Linked DNA regions of Xenopus tropicalis. The protein of the gene in region 2 purifies or fractionates together with the protein of the main gene of each other region. This does not show direct contact. Links are inferred from orthologs where the notes say so. Each region holds a gene or a part of one and is shown on either strand. Other genes may lie near its edges.

What was found.
Region 1: the proteins of ing3 (region 2) and mrgbp purify together in Homo sapiens (co-immunoprecipitation; 4 studies listed by BioGRID and IntAct, counting the BioPlex papers as one, with this or other methods). This does not show direct contact. The link is inferred for Xenopus tropicalis from reciprocal best matches to the Homo sapiens genes ING3 and MRGBP.

The regions. Positions count from the first base shown.
Region 1 is NC_030686.2:2,537,712-2,542,326, forward strand, and holds mrgbp (MRG/MORF4L binding protein), read right to left. Parts: upstream 3,091-4,615; 5' UTR 3,052-3,090; coding exon 2,913-3,051; intron 2,463-2,912; coding exon 2,341-2,462; intron 2,218-2,340; coding exon 2,136-2,217; intron 1,995-2,135; coding exon 1,920-1,994; intron 980-1,919; coding exon 795-979; 3' UTR 149-794; downstream 1-148.
Region 2 is NC_030679.2:69,348,084-69,351,899, reverse strand, and holds part of ing3 (inhibitor of growth protein 3), read right to left. Parts: coding exon 3,699-3,816; intron 1,972-3,698; coding exon 1,814-1,971; intron 1,624-1,813; coding exon 1,436-1,623; intron 1-1,435. UniProt on the Homo sapiens protein: Component of the NuA4 histone acetyltransferase (HAT) complex which is involved in transcriptional activation of select genes principally by acetylation of nucleosomal histones H4 and H2A.

The DNA.
Region 1 (4,615 bases), on a different chromosome or scaffold from region 2:
TGGATATTGAATTTTTACTATTTGAACCCAGAATGTAGAATAACAAAACACTGATAGGATGAAGGTGAAATTCTCTAATGCCCCCTAATGGGGCCCCCGGGGGGGGGCAAACGATTTCATGTGTATAAATCACAACAGGAGGCGATTACATTGTCCAACACTTTATGTATAAAATCCATTAAAAATATTATTATAAAAACTGCCTTAAATACCCGGAGAGACCTCTGCTGCCCCCTGTAGGGTAAAATCCCGACATCCTTCGGCGGGAATCGATCCCCTGTCCGTCTGCTGAAAGTTCATTATAAATTCATTGAACTCCCTGAATCACTCGCAGGACAGCCCCCGAGACTCTATAGTGGGGAACAGCCAGAGCCCCCCATTCCCTGGAGGAACCTTCTGGGGGGGCCCCAGGCTGCTGACTGTGCCTAATTCATTATGAAAGAGCAAAGTGGAACGTTCCAAAGCTGATTTTTGGGGGGGGGGGGGTATAAAAAAGATGGTCAGCCCGTGGCTAATAGATTAGAGGGGTTGGGAAATGAATTGATTTATTCATCAGTAGATTAACGAGGGTTTGATTGGGCCACAGTCTGCCCAGCCCCCGCGGATGTAGATTCACTACCCCCCCCCCCCACATACCCCCTAAAAATATTTACATCCTTGAGATCTACAGTCTACTGGCTACTGCCCCAGAGCCGGGGCAGAATGTTCTGACTCTCACACAACCCATTAGTTCAGTTACACGCGGGCCGGTTCTGACCCCTTGGGAAGCCACACCCCTTCTCTCAGCCCCGCCCCTATGTGCGCCTGCGCTTGTTGGCGTTCGGGCTGGACGGGTTGCTGTTTGCGTTCTGCACTTTCTCGGTGAGCCGGCTCCGCTTGCGCTTGTCCCCCGATTCCTTGGAGCTGGATTCCGAGAGGGTCCGCTCTTTCCCGGGGGCTTTGTCCAGCCCTTTCCCAGAATTCCCAGAGTTGACAAAAGCTGCAGAGGAAGGAAATACCCATGAGTGAGGCATCTGGCAGGGCCTGTTGCCCCTTAAATCTACCCCTCCTCACGTATATACCCCACAGAAGCCCCCACCCAGGTTATGTTATCTGCCTGGGGCAACTGCTAAACTTGCTGCCCCCAGGTGGCTATACTGTTTGCCCCCTGCTAAATGCACTTATACAGGTACAGGAAGCTCCTCCCCTTGACAATGAGGATATCGATGACTGAAATGTTACTATGGCAACAGAGATGAAGTTCCGACCCCCTGAAGCCACCAAGAAACCACCCATTACCCACAATGCACTTGGAAGAATTGGTCAAGTCTCCCCTCCCCCTGCCGTGTTCCAATAGAGACAATGATAGAGGTGTATTTTTGGTTCCGGAAATGGGCTGAAACGGTTCTGGAAGACCCAAAACTTGCACCTTCGGGTGTTGTTCCCCTTTGAGTTAACGTTTAGTACGATGTAGAGAGGGATATTCTGAGACAGTTTGCAATTGGTCTTCATTTTTTATTATTTGTAGTTTTTTAGTTATTTAAGTTTGGAATTTTAGCAGCTAATTGGTTGCTGGGGTCCAAGTTACCTTAGCAACCAGGGAATGAGAGGCTGGTATATGAATAGGAGGAGGGGCTGAATAGAAAAAAAAGTTACAAAAACGTTACAATAAAACTGGAGCCTCACGGAGCAATAGGTTTCTGGCTGCCGGGGTCAGTGACCCCCATTTGAAAACTTGAAAGGAGGCAAATAATTCAAAAACTATAAAAAATAAATAAAGACCAATTGAAAAGTTGCTTAGAACTGATCATTGTGTAGCATGCTAAGAGTTAACTTAAAGGGGAACCGCCCCCTTAAGCGCTGCCCCTACAGACTCCTCAGGGGCCGAGGCTGGGAAGCTGAATAACAGATTGCAAGCTCCTCAGCCCAATATTTCCCACCTTCATCCGAGCCGCCGTGTATTTCCACTTCCTCCTTTACTTCCTCCTTTAGCTCCTCCTCCGACGTCACCTTCCCTGCAGAGAGGAGGAGGGGACACAGACCTTTAGGGCCCGGCTGTATGGGGGCCCCGGGGGGGGGCACAAGGTTAGTAATGGGGTACAGAGAGCATTAGGTCAGTACCCAGAGGGCAACTGGACCCAAAGGCTGACACTCACCCTCCTTCACCTCCTGAATCAGATCCTCCGGGAGAATGAAGTTCTTCTCCGAGTTTGGGAAGGGGAGAATCTCAGACTCGTGCTGCAACGGGAAAGTAACGGCAGGAGGTTAGGGGGGCGCAGGGGTGGAGCAAACAGCAGGGGGCGGGGCTACCTCACCTGGAAGTGTAAGGAAATGCCCCCCCCATTCCCCGGGGCCACCTACCAAGGCCTGCATATCGTACATGCTCCGCAGGTGCTCCCAGATGACTCGGGATGAGACCTGGCGCCCGATGTTCTGGCTGAACTTGTCCCGGATGCAGATCATGTGGAAGTGGCGGTTCACGCCTGCGAGGGGCAAAAAGAAGAGTCAGTTGTGCCCTGCGTCTGCCAAAGGGTTAATGAGTCCCGTAGTCACATGGTTATTAGGGTTCCCCCTAGTTCTGCCCAAATACCCCCCAAATAGAATGTATTTATACACAGGGGGCAAATCTGCAGCAAAAGCCCAGAGCAACCAATCAGCGATTCTCTTTCAGCCGCAGAGAACAATAGAAACAAAGATCCCATTGGTTGCTATAGGTTACTGCCCAGGACTTTACTTTTGCGGTGTAATTACACTCACTGGTACAATAACCCCAAAGTGCCCGATATAGTGCCCCTACCCCCCCAGGTACAGACACCCAGAGCCCCTCATCCCGCCCCGGGCCGCCATGTCCCGACGCCACCCGGACCGGAAGCCCCCCCTTCCCGGGTTCCCAGATTACGCGAGTCCGGGGATGGGCCGCGGCCTCCACTCACCGACCGGCTTGTGGCCGAGCATCGCATGGAACAGACACACCTCAACCTCCGGGCTCCACAGCACCGGCTCTTCCGCGGGGGGGGCAGGGGGAGGCTCGGGTTTTTCCACAGTAGTTTCCCCGGCCTCTAAATCCCCCATCTCTGCAGCCAATGGGGGGAAACTGCGGGGGACAGCGACTCCTAGCGGACACCATGGGTGTTGCACTGTAGCGCAATATCTATAGCAGCACAACAGGGGGCGTCTATTGGGCAGCAGCCTCTTCCGCTCATAACGGTATCCAGCAGCGGCACTGTGCCTAGTGCAATAGCGCCATCTAGTGCTCACCAGCAGTACTGCACTCAGCCAAACGACAGCGCAGCGAACGACTGATGTTACACATGAGCAGCGCCACCTAGTGTTCCCCAACCGCACTGCGCGCATCTGCAGCTTCCATAGCGACTCTCTGTGGCCAGCGGCAGCCAAACATGTTATTACTTTGAGCGCTATCAGGCTGGAACAGTAAGCGCTGCACTTACACAGCGGCACCCAGTGGGCACGTTTGGTAACTGCACCCAGCTGATATATTACCTTTAGTATTAAAGGAACAGTAACATTAATTAAAGTGTTTTAAAGTAATTAAAATATAATGTGCTGTTGCTCTGCAAAAAACTGGTGTTTTTGCTACAGAAAAGCTACTATATAAATAAGCAGCTGTGTAGCCCCGGGGGCAGCCATTCCTGCACCGGTACAGCTGGGGTGTTTGCTACAGAAACCCTACTATAGTTTATATAAATACCCCGCTGTGTAGCCCCGGGGGCAGCCGTTCAAGCTGGAAAAAAGGAGAAAAGGCACAGGTTACTAAGCAGATAACAGATAAACACCCACTATATGGGGCTTATCTACTAGTTAACTGCTATGTAACCTGTGCCTTTTCTCCTTTTTTCCAGCTTGAACGGCTGCCCCCGGGGCTACACAGCGGGGTATTTATATAAACTATAGTAGGGTTTCTGTAGCAAACACCCCAGCTGTACCAGTGCAGGAATGGCTGCCCCCGGGGCTACACAGCGGGGTATTTATATAAACTATAGTAGGGTTTCTGTAGCAAACACCCCAGCTGTACCAGTGCAGGAATGGCTGCCCCCGGGGCTACACAGCGGGGTATTTATATAAACTATAGTAGGGTTTCTGTAGCAAACACCCCAGCTGTACCAGTGCAGGAATGGCTGCCCCCGGGGCTACACAGCGGGGTATTTATATAAACTATAGTAGGGTTTCTGTAGCAAACACCCCAGCTGTACCAGTGCAGGAATGGCTGCCCCCGGGGCTACACAGCGGGGTATTTATATAAACTATAGTAGGGTTTCTGTAGCAAACACCCCAGCTGTACCAGTGCAGGAACGGCTGCCCCCGGGGCTACACAGCGGGGTATTTATATAAACTATAGTAGGGTTTCTGTAGCAAACACCCCAGCTGTACCAGTGCAGGAACGGCTGCCCCCGGGGCTACACAGCGGGGTATTTATATAAACTATAGTAGGGTTTCTGTAGCAAACACCCCAGCTGTACCAGTGTAGGAATGGCTGCCCCCGGGGCTACACAGCGGGGTATTTATATAAACTATAGTAGGGTTTCTGTAGCAAACACCCCAGCTGTACCAGTGCAGGAATGGCTGCCCCCGGGGCTACACAGCGGGGTATTTATATAAACTATAGTAGGGTTTCTGT
Region 2 (3,816 bases):
GACCCTATATCCAGAAAACCCCAGGTCCCGAGTATTCTGGATAAAGGGTTCCATACCTGTATACCTATTTTTAAATAACACCATTTACATAGCAAATAATTAATTCTACAATTTTATTCTTGAACCAACAAATTATTTTTTTTTGTAGGCAGCCATCTCAGCGCATTGTATCTGAGCTTTCAGAAAGAGCCAGTGCTACACATTAGAAATGCTTTCAGGTAACCTATTGTTTCTCAAACTCCCAAGTAAAGGTCACCAAGGGAGCCGATCTTCACCTGATATCCCCACCTACATGTAAGCTAATTGGACCATTTGGCCCTGGGGTGCTATTCTGATATCTACTGGGAGCTGCTATCTTGCTACCTTCCCATTGTCCTGCTGATCGGCTGCTGGGGGGGTGATGTGATATCACTCCAACCTGCAGCGCAGCAGTTAAATGACAGACCACAGGTCACATGGCTGTGGAACCCTGGGAAATTAGGAACATGGCTAGCCTCAAGTGAAGTTTCAAAAGTATAAAAAAAATCTTGCGTGCGTTTCTGAAAAACAGGTTTCAATGCAGGATTCTGCTGGAGAAGATCTATTAACTAATGTGGTTTGAAAGAAAAAAATGTTTTCCCGTGACAGTATTCCTTTAAAATATACCAAAGATTTTTTTTGTTTTTTATCACATAATTTATGTTTGACTTAAATGGTGCTCTGTCTGTGGGATTCCATGCTTCTCAATGTAAACAAGAAGTAAGCCTCCACACTTTCCAATCACTGCTAAAAACAGCAGTTAACTAGGATCTACATCTGGAATTTATCCAAGCTACTTCTGCACCCACTAATAGTAAAATGAAGTCCATCAATACCAGTGGAGAGAAGGGTTATGCAAATATAAAATTACAGAACAATTAACTAAGAAGTGTGAAGTGAAATGCAATAGCTAATACACTACATGAATGCATTTAAAGGAACAGTAACACCAAAAAATGAATGTGTATAAAAATAATTAATATATTATGTACTGTTGGCCTGCACTGGTAAAAGTTGTGTGTTTGCTTCATAAACACTACTATAGTTATATAAATACCCTGCTGTGTAGCCATGGGGGCAGCCATTTAAATTGAAAAAAGGAGAAAAGGCACAGGTTACATAAGAAGATAACAGATAAACTGAGTAGAATACAATGAGAATCTATGCTACTTATCTGTTATCTGCTTAGTAACCTGTGCCTTTTCTCCTTTTTTCAATTTAAATGGCTGCCCCCATGGCTACACAGCAGGGTATTTATATAAACTGTAGTAGTGTTTATGAAGCAAACAAACAACTTTTACCAGTGCAGAGCAACAGTACATAATATATTAATTATTTTTATACACTTTAATTTTTTGGTGTTACTGTTCCTTTAAATGAGCTTTCCTCCATCAAAATTCAAGGCAAATTAACTTACTTGCTTTTTCTACCACTTCTTGAATCTGTTGTTGCAGATGATGTTAATGTCTGGGTTAACGTTGATGCTAGTGCTGAGGATGAATAAGTAGCAGAATCTCTAGACAAAGAGATTCCAAGCTGAAAGTCATTGTTTTTAAAGGCTTCATAACTGGCTTTAAGGCTGGAGGTTCTTCTTCCTTCTTTCATCTAAGAACACATTAATTGGAAACACTGATTACATGTATACTAACATGCAGTGTTTGCACAATCAAATAAATGGCATTACATAGCACACAAGCAATCAACGTGCATCAATCAGAAGATTCAGAAGCTCTCCGGCGTGGAATTTCAGCTGTTATCTTCTAAAATAATTGACACTACAATATGCAATACTTACCTGTGCAGTTGCCTGAACTGCTTGAGCTGCTGCCATGGTAATTGCACCTGCTCCAGCCCCAGTTGAAAGGGAACTTATATTATATGAGGTCAATGGCTGGGAAGCATTAACATTGTAGACATTGTTGGTAGAAGATGAAGACAGATTATTTCTACAACCTAGAAGAATGAAAAATATATTAAAACCGAAAAATTATTACTTTGAAAATAAAGTTCTTAAAAATGTTACACACATTAAATGATGTAATATGCAAAAGCTTTACTTAGGCACTGCAAAAAAGGAATGGAGTAAAAACCAACACTAAGGGGCTGATTTACTAACCCACGAATCCGACCCGAATTGGAAAAGTTCCGACTTGAAAACGAATATTTTGCGACTTTTTCGTATGTTTTGCGATTTTTTCGGATTCTGTACGAATTTTTCGGATCCAATACGATTTTTGCGTAAAAACGCGAGTTGCGCATTTTTCGCGTAAGTTTTAACGCTACGCAAAATGCACAACTTTTTACGCAACTTTCGTAATGGATAGGAAAACTCGCGTTTTTACGCAAAAATCGTATTGGATCCGAAAAATTCGTAAAGAATCCGAAAAAATCGCAAAGTACCGATCATTACGAAAAAAACGCAATCGGACTCCATTCGACCCGTTCGTGGGTAAGTAAATCAGCCCCTAAATCTGGGTCCTTTCAACAGGGGGCTGTTACAGTGGCTTGCATAAATATTCAACCTCCCCTAACATTTTTTTTGTGTTACAACCTGGCACTAAACATCTTGTTAAAACAAGAGTTTTAAGAGTTTCAAGATGAAAATACTGCAAAAGAACTTTCATCTGCTAAAAATTGTGGGAGAAAGCGAATCTTTGAGCAGGACAATGGATCCAATCACAAAGACTGAGTAATATTGAAGTGGCTAAAGAACAAAAAAAAAAAAAAGAGTCCTTTAGTGGCCCAGTCAAAGCTCTGATTTTAAAAGGGTGGCTCATCTTTAAATTCATTTTTAATATGATGTAGACATTCGTATTTTAAAACTATTTGCAAATAGTTTTAATTTTTGGTGATTTTGCAGTTATTTAGCTTTTCGTTTAACAGAGGAATTTCAGCAGTTATTTGGTCGCTATGACCCTATGTACCTTAGCAACCAGGCAGTGGTTTAAATGAGAAATGAAAGGCTGGAAGATGAATAGGAGATGTCCCTATTAGACAGAAAGGTAATTAAAAGTAAAAACAATAAAATTGTAACCTCATAGAACAACAGTTTTTAGATGCTATGGTCAGTGTACCCCATCTCCATCTGATAACTAAAAAAATGCAGAAGATGACAAAAATTAAAAAAAAAAAAAAAAAAAAATTGAGGTTGTAACAAAACATAATGTGAAAAGACCAAGGGCGTTAAATACTTATCCGTGTTACTGTAAATGTAGATGCTTATCAGGGGAATGTAAGGTGCATATTTAACTATACTCTCTAGAGGTTTCTGGTGGGAAAAATGATTGTTACTTGTAATGTAGCTATTTTAGCATAATATGGGATAGTATGAAATATAGCAGGAAGTTATTTTTGCAAACAGATACATTCTCTAATAGAACTAAGGACTCCACACTCTTGCTTGTAATGCAGCATTAACAAATTCATATAACAGTACAGGTATCGGACCCCTTCTCTGGAAACCCATTATCTATAAATTTTCCGAATTATGAAAAGGCCATCTCCCATAGACTCCATTTTAATCAAATAATTTACATTTTTATAAATTATTTCCTTTTTCTCTGTAATAATAAAACAGTACCATGTACTTGATCCCAACTAAGATACAATTAATTCTTATTGGAAGCAATAATAATGGATAATGGGTCCCATACCTGTACTACATTGTGAATGAATTATACCTGCTGTGTTCTCTTTGGAAGCATCTGAAGTTAGAGTTGACAGCAATGCTTCAGATTTAAACTTTTTCTCCGATACATGGTCCGTTGTTGAATGATGAGATGATGGATTGTGCTTCCG